Notamacropus eugenii: one gene and its partners. The protein of the gene in region 3 interacts with the protein of the main gene of each other region in a pairwise test. Links are inferred from orthologs where the notes say so. Each region holds a gene or a part of one and is shown on either strand. Other genes may lie near its edges. The genes, in order: TNNT1, CEP57 and TFIP11.

Evidence for each region.
Region 1: the proteins of TFIP11 (region 3) and TNNT1 interact in binary tests that used the Homo sapiens proteins (3 or more experiments, as listed by UniProt). The two-hybrid records come from large-scale screens. The link is inferred for Notamacropus eugenii from reciprocal best matches to the Homo sapiens genes TFIP11 and TNNT1.
Region 2: the proteins of TFIP11 (region 3) and CEP57 interact in binary tests that used the Homo sapiens proteins (3 or more experiments, as listed by UniProt). The two-hybrid records come from large-scale screens. The link is inferred for Notamacropus eugenii from reciprocal best matches to the Homo sapiens genes TFIP11 and CEP57.

Annotation. Positions count from the first base shown.
Region 1 is NC_092876.1:17,796,998-17,802,092, reverse strand, and holds the start of TNNT1 (troponin T, slow skeletal muscle), read left to right. Parts: upstream 1-1,711; 5' UTR 1,712-2,137; intron 2,138-3,418; 5' UTR 3,419-3,430; coding exon 3,431-3,462; intron 3,463-3,567; coding exon 3,568-3,581; intron 3,582-3,863; coding exon 3,864-3,896; intron 3,897-4,244; coding exon 4,245-4,277; intron 4,278-4,930; coding exon 4,931-4,952; intron 4,953-5,095. UniProt on the Homo sapiens protein: Troponin T is the tropomyosin-binding subunit of troponin, the thin filament regulatory complex which confers calcium-sensitivity to striated muscle actomyosin ATPase activity.
Region 2 is NC_092876.1:162,363,117-162,368,211, forward strand, and holds the start of CEP57 (centrosomal protein of 57 kDa), read right to left. Parts: upstream 3,394-5,095; 5' UTR 3,141-3,393; coding exon 3,108-3,140; intron 1-3,107. Other genes in the region: protein FAM76B, read left to right, coding at 4,462-4,548. UniProt on the Homo sapiens protein: Centrosomal protein which may be required for microtubule attachment to centrosomes. May act by forming ring-like structures around microtubules. Mediates nuclear translocation and mitogenic activity of the internalized growth factor FGF2, but that of FGF1.
Region 3 is NC_092875.1:19,810,849-19,815,943, forward strand, and holds the start of TFIP11 (tuftelin-interacting protein 11), read left to right. Parts: upstream 1-1,981; 5' UTR 1,982-2,126; intron 2,127-3,216; 5' UTR 3,217-3,226; coding exon 3,227-3,435; intron 3,436-4,796; coding exon 4,797-4,947; intron 4,948-5,095. UniProt on the Homo sapiens protein: Involved in pre-mRNA splicing, specifically in spliceosome disassembly during late-stage splicing events. Intron turnover seems to proceed through reactions in two lariat-intron associated complexes termed Intron Large (IL) and Intron Small (IS).

The DNA of each region.
Region 1 (5,095 bases), on a different chromosome or scaffold from region 3:
AGCCTTTGGCATGTGCTACATGTGGTAGCCAGTAATCTGTAAGGGCCTTTTCAGCTCTGTCAGTCAACAGTTTTATTTAGGCCCCATCAAAGCCATGATGAACTCAGTTACTGAGGAGATCAGGGATTCCAGGGACCTGGCCAGGCCAGCCCAGAGCCAGATAGATCAGGGTCATGGGGGGCATGGCTTTGGGCTAAGGACTGTCCTGGATTTGATCTGCCTGCCTCCCTCATGCCAGGACACCCTCCTCACCCCACCCACACACCTGTCATCTCCATTTAGGACCTGATGTCACTAAAGGGAAATTTTGATGGGAGACAAAGCAGAGGGAGAGGGGAGGAGGAGACAATGACAGAAACAAACAAAAATGCCAGAGACAGTGAGAGAAATGGAGACACAGAGATACACAGGAGAAGGTGGAGACAATAAAAAACCAGAGAGAGAGGGAGAGAGAGGAAAAAAGGGTAAATTCATGGTCTGTGATTGAAGGATATAGGTTGAAAGAACTAGGAATGTTTAGCCTGGGGAGGAAAAGACTGGGGTGCCAGGGGAGAAAGAGCTTCCTTCACTTCTTTGAATGGCTATCTTGGGGAGTGGGCAGAACTAGGCACAGAACTAGACTTGCATTAGGCTTGATGTCAGGAAAAAGTCAATTGCAATGATCCAAGGTGAAATGGGTTTCCTCCTTGGCTTCAAGTAGAGACTGACAATGAATTGTTGAGTTTAAAGGAGATGAGTGGTCATTTGTCAGGTATGTGTGTTGGCCATGGAAGGCTCATTCAAAGTCTGTAAGACAAGGAATTTAGAGACCACAGAAAAGAGAAGGAAACAGACTGAAAGAAAGGAGATGGAGAGGAAGAGAGACATAGAGGCAGAAGGAGAGAGAGAAACAGATGGTGGGAGAGAGGATAGAAAATGATGGAGCAGCCAAGAAACGTTTTTAAGCACTTACTTTGTACTAGACCTGGTGCTTTATCAATGGGGATAAAAAGGGCAAAACATGGTGTCTTCTCCCAGGAGCTCACAGTCTCATGGATGAGACCACAGGCAAACTAGTAGCAACATACAAGTGATATCCAGTATCAGTGGAGGGTAACCTTGGAGCTGGAGGGGGGAGGCACCAGCAGCTGGGGAGGAGCCATGAAGGCTTCCTGCACAAGGTAGGATTGGAGTGGACTCTTGAAGGAAGCCAGGGAGACTAGGAGGTGGAGATGAGGAGAGACAGCATTCCAGGCATGGGGCACAACTGGGGCAAAGGCATGGACTTGGGGAATCAAATGTCCTATCCAAGGAATAATAGGAAGGTGTTTCTTTGGATCATATAGTTTGTGGAGGGGAGTAAAATGTAAGAAGATTGGAAAAGTGTGTGTGTGTGTGTGTGTGTGTGTGTGGTGTGTGGGGGAGAGAGAGACAAAGGCTGTGATTGGCTTTAACAGTCAAGCAGGATTATCTTATATTTGAGCCTGAAGGTAATAGGGTGCCACTGGAGGAGAAAGGAGACAGAGACAGAGACAGAGAGTGAGAGAGTGAGAGAGAGAGAGAGAGAGAGAGAGAGTCAAATCTGCATTTTAGAAAATTTACTTTGTTAGCTGAGGAGAGGATGGATTGGAGTGGGGAAAGACAAGACCAGGAAATGGTCCTGTGGGGTTGTGTGACTGGAAAAAAGGAAACCAAGAAAGGAGAGAATGAGAGAGAGAGAGGAAGGAGAGAAAGAAGGAAGAAAAGAAGAAACTGGGATCTATAGAGACACAAAGAGACTGAGAAACCTAAAGAAAGAAATATAAAGGAAAAAAGGAAATGAGTTTGAAAAGAATAGAAGAGGGGCAAATCCTCCTCTCCCCCTCCTCCCCATCACGTGTCAGGATTGGAAAGACACACAGCAAAAAGACAGACAAGAGAGGTCCAGGCAGAAGACAGACAGGAGAGACAGAAATGGAGCAAGGGTGACACCCAAGTTGAAAGGAGGAGGAGCCCACAATTGGCCCTGCCTCAGAGACCCCGGAATATCTTTGGAGGCTCTCCCCCCTCCCTCAGGCTGGGGCTATAAAGCACTTGCTTCTCTGTCCCTGACTCACAGCAATTGTTCCAGCCTCAATCAAACCCTTGTGGTTTACTGAAGCCTCAGCACCAGTCCCAGGTAATGAAGCCCACTCCCCCCCAATTTCTGACCCCCTTCCCCAAGCCAGCCCCTGGGAGATCTATGCAGATAGAAAGAAAGGGAGACCCAGAGAGGGAGACACACAAAGGTTGGGAAAGACAGAGACATTGCAGCAGGGCAAATATCTGCTCAATAAAAGGGAAAGGTCTTAATAATTAGAGCTGTCCCAAAGTGAAAAGGATTGTCTGGGACGAGTGAGCTCCTTTTGGTGGATGATCTTCAGGCTGAATAATCCATTGTTAGTAATATCCCAGATGGTTCTTTATTCTTGTTTAGGCATAGGTTGGAGTAACTGATCTCTGAGGTCTTTTCCAATTTTGAGATTCTGTGGGTGGGAGACAGAATAGAGAAAGGCAGAGAGAGATAAGGAGAGAGTGGGGGGAGGAACTTGAATAAGAGAGACAGATACAGAGACGGACAGACTGACAGACAGAGTCAGAGAGACGGAGATAGAAAGAAACAGAGAGAGGCAGATAGGCAAGCACAGTGAAAGAGACAGAGATAGACAGCCATAGACAGATGCAGACAGCCATAAACAGTGACAGATACAGACGTAAACAGTGAGAGACAGGTAATCAGATGAGACACAATTTACAGTAAGGGTTGGGATTTGTGTATGTATTGAAAGGAAATCTATTGACCTTCCCATTTCAAGAGTAATGGGTGAGGGCAAAGGGATGGAGTGGAGGGAAAAGACTGGTTGCCAGGAACCTTCTTTTCCAGTACTATTGACTTGACTATGACCTTGGAAAATTCCATTCCTTCTCCAGGAATCAGTTTCTCTATCTGTAAAACCTGAGTAGGGAAGCCAAAATTCACTCAGCTCCTAAGATTTTGAGACTGGGGTGGGTTGGTGGTTTTTCTGACAGCATAGGCTTAAGGTCAGGGGTTTGGTGAGGGGAGGCAAGGGCAGTTCTGAGTCAGGGCCTGTGGGCAGCTCTATCCTTTTTGGGACATATCTCTGGCCTTGGCCCTGGCCCGAGACCCCCAGAAATAGCTTCTGACAGGCTAGGAGGGAACTGGGGGTGGCTATTGTCTGTCCCAAGAATGCCCAGAGATAATCTCCCCGATCAGGTTCCTTCCCATCCCCCAGTGCCCTGAGACCAAAAGACAGGTGGTGGGGATGGTGGGGGAGGGGCCCTAATGCTGCCACCCCCACCCCACTCCATCAGTTCAGTGGCCCCAGAGATCCCCAGCTCCCATCCCTCAGGGACACAAACATTCTGGTCCTTCTATCTTCTCTCTCCTTACTCTCTCCAGGTTACTCCAACAATGTCGGACACAGAGGAGCAGGAGTATGAGGAGTAAGTGTGTGTGGCGGGGCAGCTGGTAGAGAGTAAGAGGATGGGGAAAGCGTCTCCCTTGATGTCTGCATCTAATTTGTTCCTCTCTTTTGTCCCAATCTGCAGGGAACAGCAGGAAGGTGAGTCTTTGGGGTCTGGAGGGGAGGGCAGATCAGAATCCCTGGGTCTTGAGGGTGTGCCCACTGGGGCTTGGACACCTGGGTCCAAGGATCTGCTATTTTCCTGAACTCAAGAATAGCAATGAAGGCACCCGAGGTGCCCAGAGGACTTAAGATCAGGGTAGAGGGTCTTAAGACCCGAGAGAAGGAGGCCCGTTAACTCTTTCAGCACCATGACGCTGTCCCCTCCCTCCCCCACAACACTTTTTCTTTTTCTCTATCCTGTCTGCCCCCTGCCCTCAGAAGAGGCTGAGGCCGCCGAGGAGGAGGAGGAAGGTAAGCCCAAAGGGGCGGGGAAGAGGGATGCTTGGGTGTCTGAATGAGGGGTGATGGCTGTAACTTGGATTCTTATTGCTGGGTGAACCCCAAAGGCCGAAAGGCTCTTGGAGATCCTTGAGTCCCAAGGATGCCCAGTTTACAGCTGGGGGTTGGGTGGTGGCAGCAAGGATTCCTCAGCCCAGAGAAGGCCAAGGGGCTGCCAAGGTCACACAGTGGGTGGGACTTCTACCCCTGGCACCGAATTCTCCCCGTTAACAGCCTCTCCTCTCTCTCCTTCCCCTTGCACCGCTGGCGGGGCCATTCCCCTCCCCCAATTCCTCGCTTCTCCCTCTCCCCCTACCCCAGCCCCTGAGGAGTCGGAGCCGGTCGCAGAGCGAGGTATGGTGGTCGCTTCGCTTCCGTCTCCGGGAACCGGGGCGGGGGGAATATCCCATCCAGACCGCGGCCCCTTTAAGCGCCCCTTAGGCGCGCATTAAACAATAACCATGTCCCCCCCCTTAAAGGGGCCGCACCCACTCCTCTTTTTCCCACACCTGTCCTCTTCTTCCCTCGATATACATTCAAAGGTTTGGGGTCGGGTGGGAGGGGACTTGGGTCCCTCAGAAAGCTAGAGGCTGGGAGATCCTGGATGCCTGAAGTGCTGAGGATGGGTGGAGACTGGGAGACTCGCTGAGGGAGTGGGAGAAGGAGTCGCTGGGGTCTAGGACCAATGAGTTCTTGAGGAATGGGTTGCTGAGTGACAGGATATCTGGGTCTCCCAGCCAGAAGGGACTGGGAGACAGGAAACATGGTTCTCTGAGGGGTGGGGAACCCCCCCCCCAACAAGTTGTGAATGTATATGGTCGCTGTGTGATCCCAGCTCTGCACCCCCCTCCCCTTTTACCCTCCTCCCTGAGGGCAAGAGGAATCGGTACCCAGAAACCTGGAACCTTCCCAATCCTTCTGGGGCTTAAGATCAAAGCAGGCATTAGTCTCTCCACCAGTTTCCCCTCTCTAATTATCTTTCTCTGTCTTCAACTCCCTCCTTACAGAAGAGGAGCGACCCAAACCCAGGTGAGCGAATTTCCTAAGGGTGAATGGCAGAATGCTTGAGCAGAGAGACTCCCCAAACCATGAAAATGATCAAGGATGGAAAGGAAGGATCTTTGTGATTAATTCTCTCCCATTTCATGGATGGGGGAGGTGGGGCTTAGAAA
Region 2 (5,095 bases), on a different chromosome or scaffold from region 3:
ATTAGGATGAAGAGAACATATCAGATTGCATTTGGAAAATTGGACAATGCTCTTAACGTCCCTAAATATCTCCCTGAAACAAAGGGCCACTAAAAAAAAAAAATCAATATTCTTCTTGTAATGCTATGTAGCTGTGAATCAGAGCATAACACCCATGTTGGAGGTCAACCAAAGGGCCATGGAGACACATAATGTATAAAGGCAACAGTTGTATTATTGTTGAAGAACTGCATACCAAGAGTCCTTAAAAATATCAGAGATGATACAACCAGAAAAGGAGATAGGGCTGGTTGAAGTGATTCTCTGATGTCTATACAATGTCAAAAGAATTCAAGGAAAGCCCTCAGCATGAGTGTGGATCCCCTCTGTGGAGGCTTAACAGGAGGACAAGAAAGACACAAGGTGAGAAGGCCCGAGTGGCCACAATCTGCACTTCTGAAGGTAATATAAACATTAGTGAGCTCAAAGACCCACTACATTATTTTCTACAAAATCCTGTAGCATTGGGTACATAGTAGGAACTCAGTTATTCATTTACTTCTTCAACAAATGTTTAATCACAGAGCTCTGTCCTGGGCCCTCTTATGTTCTCCATGTTATTTTATTGGTTTTCTCTTTAGCTCCCACAAATTTAATTATCACCTCTATGGTGATGTTCTTGTATCTACTTCTTCAGCCCTAACCTCTCTACTGGTTTCCAGCCTCACACCTCCAACATCTCAGAACTATATTCCCATAAACATGAAAATGCAATAGGTCTAAATATGAACTCATTATCTTTCCCCCTAAATCTTTTCCTCTTCCTAATAGTTATCATTCTTGACTTCTCACTCTCTCTCATTCTCCATAGCCAATCTGTTGCAAAGACCTGTTGATTTTACCTCTCTCATTTATTTTTTGTTTATTTATTGTTTCTTTCTCTTCTCTGATAATGGCACCACTCTGGTGCAGGCCCTCATCACTAAGGCTTATTTGTTATATGGGCTGCTGGTTGGTTTTTCCCCTTAAAACAAACAGATGAAGTGAGATGAAACTGAGTTCATTCTGTACTCAATTGCCAAAGTGATCTTCTGTGTTCCAGTGATACTGGCTTCTCTGCTATTTCTCACACAAGACACAAAATCTTCTGATTCCAAGCATTTTCACTTAGTGTTCCCAATGCCCAGAATTCTCTTAAGTTTCAGCCAAAAATCTCACCTTCTACAGGAAGTCTTTCCCAATCCCCCTTAATTCTAGTGCCTTCCCTCTTTGATTATCTCCAATTTATCCTGCATATTTGCATGCTGTCTCTCTCATCAAATTACAAGCTCCTTGAGAGTTGGGAATGTATTTTGCTTTTGGTGGCACAGTAGATAAGAGTACTGAGCCTGGAATGAGGAAACTGAATCAAATCTGGCCTCTGACACTACCTGTGTGACCCCTGGAAAGTTACTTAACCTGTTTGCCTTAAGTTTATCTGTAAAATGGGAATAATAGCACCTGGGCAAATGAGATAATTGTAAAATGCTTAGTCACAGCATCTGGCATATGGTAAGTGTTATATAAATGTTGTTATTATTATCCCCAACACTTAGCACAATGGCTGGAACACAGCAGATGCTAAATAAATTGTTTACTGACTGTATAAAACATGATGGGAGATAAAAAGCATACTAGACATGGTCCCCTTACTTCCACAACTCTGCAATTTGGTAGGGGAGGTAAAACATAGCTACATATGCCAGTCATATAGCTATAGAAGGATGGAGGCTAATCAGGAAAGGCTTTATTAAAGTGGAAATTTCAACTGGGACTAGAAGAAGAATTAGGATTTTAGTGGAAAAAAGAGGAAGGGCATGAGCAAAAGTGGGAAGCCACAGGAGTTTATTGAGGAGATAGATGTGATCAGACTTGCATTTTAGGAAAAAGACTTTGGTGATTAAAAGGAGAATGGAATGAAGTGGGGAGAGACTTGCGGCAGGCAGATCCACCAGCAGCTATTACAACAATCCAGCAATGAGGAGGTAAGGGCCAGCACCAGAGCAGCGGTAGTGTCAGAGGAGAGAAGTGGGCATATTTGAGAGAATCTGAAAAGGTCAAATGACAATGGTTTCCAACCTTCGTTAGAAGATCTCTAGTGAGAGTACCCAAGTAGCCCACTCCATTTTTGGATGTTAACTGTAAATGTTTTTTCTTAAATTAAACCTAATCTGGCCTATTTACCCACTGTTTTTTGTCAAGCTGAATGACCCTTCTTATGACAACTATCTATATATCTCACAGGATCACAGAACAGGGGCTTCAGAGGCCAAGACCTCCATTTGACAGATGAGGAAACAGACCCCGAGACTTTTAGCCATTTGCCCAGTGTCACACAAACAGCGAATAAATGGCAGAGCCAGGATTCCACCTCGGCTCCTCTAATTCCAAATCCTCTTTCCACTGCACTACCCAACCTAATTCTTCTCTTTTCCATTCAACTACGGTCCTTCTAAGTACTGTGCAAAACTGAACCCACATATGATCTGACCATTTTAACGACCCTCATTACGTATGCTATTAACGAGACTATTAGGTTCCTTAATTTTCTTACTCACTATGACACACTTCACTCAACTTGAGTTCGGAGTCCACTAAAAGCCCCAAATCTTTCCAGACACGCCTCCCCCTTCCTGCATGTGGAAACATATTTTTAAAAGTCCGAGCGTAAGATTCTACACTCGTCCCTACGGAGCATCTGCTCAGTTACATTCTGCCACCCGGAGCAGCATTCGGGCCGGCCCGGGCTGGGGAAGCCAGGCGGACCCGGGGGCGCGCTCACGGTAGCACGCAGCAGCCCCGGCGGTCCCCACGGGGCCCAGCGCTCAGCGTGAACAGCTGGGCCGAGGGAAGGACCCGGCCGGCCCAGGGGGCAGAGATCACTTCACCTCCGGGGGCCAGGTCAACCCAGGGAGCCTAGAAGCGAGAGATGCTACGGAAGGGTCGGGGAGAGGGAAGGAAAGAGCTGGGGAAACTCGGGGAGCGGAGGAGGCCCCCCAGGGACCCGACAGGACCCAGGCAGGAGGCGTCGGGGCCACAATGGGCCCAGGGGCGTCCCTGGCCCCGTTCGAACGCAAACAGTTCCTTACCGCGCATCCAGAATAGCCAGCCGACGCCGCCATCTTCCCGCCTGCCAGCAGGCTCCTCCTACGGGGAAGGCTGCCCGAGTTCACCAGCCCCGCCCCAAGGCTCGTGCCCCGCCCCCACGGGGAGATCCGCCCCCCAGCAATCAGAGCCCGGGCCACCACCGAGCCAGCGGCGGGCTGAGGGGGAAGGGGTAGGGGTACAGAGATGAGTTAGGCAGGCGGAGATTTACCCCACCCTCCCCCCTCGCGCGCGCGCGCGCCTTACGCACATCGAAAGGACAACAAACCTGGATAGGCGTCACAAATAACCAATCAAAGAAGAGGACACCGTCCGGGAGCGGTGGGGGGAAGAACCCGCCCTTTCCCCAAGATGACGCCACAAGGTGTCGGATTGAGAGCGAAGAGGGCCAATAACAAAACAGGATAATTCCAAAGGCGACGCAAGGAAGGGGCAGGGCTGGGTTACGGGGGCCATGGGGCCAAAGGAAACTTCTCCGGGTATTGTTTTGGTTCGGTGTCTTAAAATGGCCATCCAAAATCGATAAGCCGAGCTGACGTAAAAGGCCTCGGATGTACAAAACATTCCTATTGCTCAAATTCGAAGATGAGTCTGACCGTGGTTTGGGGGTAGGTTTTACCGGGCGGTGCTTACCGAAGTACGACCAATGATGAGACAGTATAGAAGGCGCTCAAAGTACTCGGTCCAATCGAAGTCAAGAAAGAAGAGTCAGAAGAGCAGGAGGGAAAAGTCTTTGGTGGGCATTTGCCCAATTGGAGCGCAGAGTCCTCCCCCCGAACACCGGATTGGCCACTAGCAAGCACAACGACGCAGGCCTCTAGGCCGGGGAAAGGTTTTGAAGCAAGTTTCGCGCGCGGACGGCAACGAGCTGCTATTGGTTGGTGACCTTCTTCCTTTGTAGGGGCTCTCGGCGTATCGGGGTGAGGGTAGGGGAGTGGCGCCTGAGTGACGTAAAGGCTGCGACAGCCAATCCGAAAGAGTACAGAGAGAAGGAGAAGGAAGCGGATCTGTCGCCTCGCAGCTAATCTAATCCTCGACTCTCCGTTTAGTCTCCCTCCGCCACCGCGGTCTGGGCCTAAGAGGGAGCGGCCGGGAACCGTTGCGGGGTCGGGAGGGCTGGTGGCGAAGCAAGGCGGAGGGAGACGGCTGTGGCGTTGGTATTTACTCCGCGGCGCTGGCAGTGCTGTAGCTGGGTCCTAGCGCGGAGTCGTTGTGGCCACGGGGCGGGGGTTGAGGGGGGAAGCATCGGGAGGAGCGCGCGGCCGGGCCCGGGTGCCTAGGCTGCCCCGGAGGGCCCCGCGTTGCAGCAGGCGGCAGAGGAAGAGGAGAAGGAGGAGGATGGCGGCCTCGGCCTTGTACGCCTGCACAAAGTGTACCCAACGCTATCCCTTCGAGGAGCTCTCCCAGGGGCAGCAGCTCTGCAAGGTCCGTGTGCGCCGGGCGGGGTCTGGTCGGACGTGGCCCTGGGAGGGGGCTGGGTGTCCCGCGCTCCGCCTCCTTACCCCAGTCGCCGGCGCCTCGGGGGTTGGAGGAGTCCGGGACTTTTCTGTCTGCGCGAGGCGGGGCGTGAAGGGAGCCCCCCACCCACCCACCCCCGCCAGGTGGCCTGGGCTCAGGGCGGAGATCTCGGGGTGGGGCCGACCCCCGAGGCTGCCAGCCACCTGTCTCACGCAGGAGGTATTTTTGTCGCTGTCTCTGCCCTTTCAGCTCTCCCCTTCCGGGATGTAGAGATCACTTTTAAATCTCTCTCTCGAGGGCACTGAATGGTGACCTCTCCGTCACAGAAAAGCAGAGCGACTTGCTGGCCATGGCACAGAGTATTGGTCTCATTCGGATCTTCTCAGATCCGATGAGAAGCAAGTGTGAGCATTTGTAAGCAGCGTCGCAGAACAGTAAAAAGCATTTTCACATAGACTCCACCAGATTACCATCGTATTTAACCCTACCAGCGACGTAGAGAAATTTAATAAAC
Region 3 (5,095 bases):
ATAGCCTGCCCTAGCAAAACCTTTATCTCTCTTCTTGATACAGTAACCGGCTGCACCTGTAGAATTTATTAGTTTGAACCAGCTGTGGACTGGTTGAACTGGCTGTATACTGGGTCATAAAGATATTCACTGCTCAATGACCTATCATATGTATCCTAGACTTAGACGTATGGATACTCCCTCATGTTTATCTTGTCCAACAAGACATTGATAGGGGCAGCCTGGGTATTTCTCAATCAGCCCAGACCATTAGTGATGTCTCAGGCCTAAAAACACACTTCCATGTAGCCCCTCCTTAGGCTATTTCCCAGTGAACTCTGGGTAAAAATACCTGCTCAGCAGCTTCTAAAAATGCATGTTCCTTTAAGTACTGACCACTTCCTAATCCCCCCAATCACCTAGTTAGCATATTTGGCACATGTTATACTATGAAATATCCTAAATAAATTTTACCTGTACCCTTTTCAAATCGCAGGTGCCTTAAGAACTCCTGTCTGCTGAAAAGCGTAACCATAAATTTTTACCACCTTGACTTCAAAAATGCTTGAGTCCATGAATTCATTCCAGATGACCTGCCCCTGTGCTCATCCTGCTTTTTGGCAGGATGTCTCAGAATCCATCCCCTCCCTTTCCAATCCTTATCACCTTCATCTCTCCATAGCTGAGAGAGGGTGTGTGTGTGTGTGTGTGTGTGTGTGTGTGTGTGTGTGTGTGTGTGTGTGTGTGTGTGCACGTGTGTGTAGGTGAGGGGGGTGAGAGGTGAGTATGCCCCTCAGGTGTTGGGGCTGAGGTGGGAAAGTTTGTGTATTTATTCTTATTATACCTTTAAAGTAAATATTCCTTTTTAAAAGTTATTCCCTCCATTAAGTGATAAAATGGAACTGAGGCACAGGGGACCCCTAAAATTGAGGGAACATCATTTATGGAGGCTGACACCAAAGGCAGAGGGATTTAGACCCCTCCCCAAACCCTTTTAAGGGTATTATAGAACCCTGGGCAAAGCAGGTGAAATGTAATACAGCTGATCTTCTGGTAGTCATGATTGAGTTACTGTTATACGTGTAAATCCTGGGCTTAGTACGTACAGTACTGCACACAGTAGGTGCAAAATTAATGCTTCTTGTCTCACTGTGCCTACTTCTTACAGGGGTCTCTGTCTCTGTCTCTCTGTCTTTCTCTGTCTCTCCGTGTCTGTCTGTCTCTCTTTCCTTCTCTCTCTGTCTCTATCTTTCTCTCTCTGTGTCTGTCTTTCTGTCTCTTTCTCTCTGTCTCTGTCTTTCTCTGTCTTTGTCTCTGTCTGTCTGTCTCTGTCTCTGTCTCTCTATCTTTCTCTCCGTGTCTGTGTCTGTCTCTCTGTCTTTCTCTGTCTCTCCGTGTCTGTCTGTCTCCTTTCCTTCTCTCTCTGTCTCTGTCTCTCTCTCTCTGTCTCTCTCTCTGTCTGTCTTTCTCTCTTTCTCTGTCTCTCTGTCTGTCTGTCCGTCTGTCTCTGTCTCTGACTGTGGGGGGGCATGGGAGTTAACAATGGCGGTCCCCCCTCCCCAGTGTAGACCACTGTAACATTTAAAAGCCGCCCAGAGCAGACACAGCTCAGGAGGAAGCCGGACAAGCCGGATAGTTTGAAAGCGAAGCGAAGTTTTGTGACAAAGTGTGGAAAAAAGCCATCGTGTGAAGTGAAGATGCAAGGCGTCCCTCGGGTCCATAGACTGTTCTCTGCTCTGGGGGTGGGATTTTTTAAAATGCAAAAAAAAAAAAGAAGAAGAAGGCGGGGGAGGGGACGAGAGGAAGGAAGAGGAGAAACGGGGAGGGGGAGGGTGAAGAGGAGGCTGATCTGCTCCTCCCCCTCCCATCCGCAGGCGTGGTTTCCCACGGGAGGACCTCCAAAGCCATAGAGACGAGGCCGCTCTAGGACCGGCGTCGCTCATCCCCAAGACAACCCCCCCCTCCGCTTCCGCGTGAGGGCGGGCTTCTTGCGTCACTTCCGGCGCGCCAGGCTCGGCTTCGTTTGGCCGCCGGCGGGCTCGCGCGGACCCCTAGGCGCTGCTCGAGGTGAGAGGCGGCTCGGGAGGCGCCGGCGGCGGTGACAGCGCGGCGAGGACGCTCCGAGGCCCGACCCGGGTCCCCGAGAGGTGAGGGCGACCCCAAACCCCGCCCGGAGAGGGAAGGAAGGGGCCCTGGGGGGGGCATCGCCGGCGCTGTGCCCTCGGGACCCCGCGGCCGGCCCGTCAGAGCTGGGAGGGAGCCCAGAACGGGGGTGTCGGAGCAGCCGAAGGCCGCAGGCCCGACCCCCCACCCGGCCCCGGGTCATCCGGCCGGGGTCCTGGATGAAGGCGCCTTGGAGGCGCCCGGCGCGGGTGTCAGAGCCGGGAGACCCCTTAGAACGCTCGCGGCGGTGCCGAGGCGGTCGGCGAGGGACTCGGCCAGGGTCACCCAGCCGGCCGGGCCTCCTGCCCGTTACGGAGGACGAGCCCGGGAGCGGAGGCTGCCGGAGGCGGAGGCCTCCCCGCTTCATTAGACCCTCCGTAGCCGCACGAGCAGCGGGCGAGGGCAGCGCTCCCCGGCTCCTTAGCCCGGCTTCCCGGGGGCCTTCCTGGAGTGGCCCGATCACCGTCCCCGCCGAGCCGGGCCGGGGTCCGCGCTTTATTCCTCGGTGTCCCCTTCGCAGAACGAGGCGTGTTCCTTCCCCCTAACTCCGGCGCTTTCCCCGCTGTACCCGCCGTCCCCCAGCTCTTCGGGGAGCCTCGTCCCTGGATGGGGCTCCCCAAGTGCCTCCTGCTTCGTTTGTGGCCGGTGTTAGTAACTTTTCAGAACAGCGAGCTCACTAACGGGCCTCCGGTTTATTGAGGTCCTAAGGTTGGGCAAGACTGAAGTATTTGATTATCCGGGTGGAAAGGGAGCGTGGTTGGTATCTCCAAATATTTTACCTTCTCTTACAGGGGAAGAGACATCAGACTTAAATTTTATTTCTCTTTTGGCCTTTGAGGGCACAGCTATTTCCAGTGAACGGGAGGTATGAGAAGGCAGGCTTCAGCTGGACATAGAAAGCACTTCCTACTAATGAGAACTGTCTGGCAGTAGGAGATCAATAGTTTTTTTATCAGGATCTTTCTTCACAGGCAGCCAGATGGTCATTTGTTGTTGGCCCGGTAGACAGGATTCGGGCTGGAGGTTTGTAGTGAGATCTTGCCCTTTTCATCCCTGTCTCCCTTTCTCCACCAGAGTTGCCACCATGTCGCTGTCTCATCTCTACCGAGAGGGCGAAGGAGCCATTGATGAAGAAGAAGATGAGATGGAGAACTTTGAGATCACGGACTGGGACCTCCAGAATGAATTCAATCCGAACCGTCAGCGTCATTGGCAAACCAAAGAGGAGGCCACATATGGAGTGTGGGCCGAGCGCGACCTTGAAGATGAGCGACCCAGCTTTGGAGGCAAACGGTAGTGGGATTCACCGGACAGGGCTGGCTGCTTCTGGGTGCAGCCAGGAGGGAATTAGATGTAGCCACGTGTACTTCTGTCACCTCTGGGCATTCAGTTTTTCCTTCAGGAGAGAATGTGTTGTACCACTTGAGGACAGCCTTTCAGCTCTGGGCAGGTCATCATTCCCTAATGTATACATTATCATCATTGGTCATTGGGCTCTGCTGAAAAGAGCATGTTCATGTTGCGGTAAAGACTTGGTGTGTACTCAGTCCTGTAACCATAGATTATGAATCTATCAGTAGGTATATAGACCATTTAAACTAGAAGGGTCCGTAGAGACCCAGACTAAATACCATCATCTTACAGATCCTGAGCAGCATTCATTCATTCATTCAGCTTCTATTAAGGACCAGCTATTCAAGGAATTGTGTGAGGTGCTGGAGATGCCAAGAAAAGTGGCAGGGGAGGTAGTTCCTTCCATTAGGGAACATAAGTTCTGTGGGCGCATGCAACAAGTACATACAGATAGAGAAGTGTAATTTGAGGAAGGGGAGAAAGTATTAATTGACTTTCTCACCGATGTGTGTAATTAGTTATAAATGGTAACAAGGTGAGGGTTTGGAGAATGACTTCCAGAGGGCTAAGGATTCTCCTGGCAGTGAGTCAGAAATGACATCTTCTAAAGTATCCCTGAAGTAGACTATTTTAAAATCACTATCATATTTTTAATGCATTAATTTCTTAAACCCTTGAGTTATCATGTTATTGATTTCATGGACATGCCGTTTTCTAGCATTTTCCACATAATATATATTATTGGCATAATCATTTCCCCATATGACTTGTTAGATATGGCTCTGCTTTCTTTGTCAGTGGTTTTGTTCCAGAAGATTCTTTTCATTTGACTACTCTTGCTGCCATGGCCATTTAAATATATGTTGTGTTTTGGTTTTTTTGAGTGTAACAGTAGCCAGTGGAATGACTTGGTAAAGTGGAATGTTTAGTAAAGAAGATTAAATGAACACAAATCCTTTGGATCTTTGATTCTTTTAACTAAAATTATAATTTGTGAGGCTTGCATTTGCATCTGGGGCAGAGACTTAGAGTTTTTTGAACTTGAGCTGTGCTCGTTGTGCTTCAGATGTCTATTTTCCAGACTGCAGATGTCTGAGTTACATTTGACAGTCCTTGGGTTCATATCCTTGGATTCATATCAGTTAATGATCTTTTAAAGTGAATCCCTTGTAGCACTGTGTTGGTACATTTCCTGCACAACTTTTCCTCATCTATGATAGCAGTGGCACCTGTCAGCTGAAGAGGCTTCTCTGAGAGCTGTCTTTACAATCTCCTCCTTTGTGGTGTGTTGGTGTTTACAGCTCCCGAGACTTTTCTGCGCCCGTGAATTTCATTAGTGCTGGACTGAAGAAAGCTGCCGAGGAAGCAGATGAGGAGGATTCAGATGAAGAGGAAAAGCCTGTTAAGCAGGAAGACTTTCCTAAAGATTTTGGACCAAAGAAGTTAAAAACAGTAAGGTTTTGCCTGAGAGTTGGGAAGGTTCGCACACTCTCAGAGGGCGCATGCACATAACACAACTTCGAGCTAAGAGCCCCTCAGCTCAGGCTTCCAGGTTATCTAGGTGCTCATCATCAAACCTGGAGGGCAGAGGAGGTTGGGA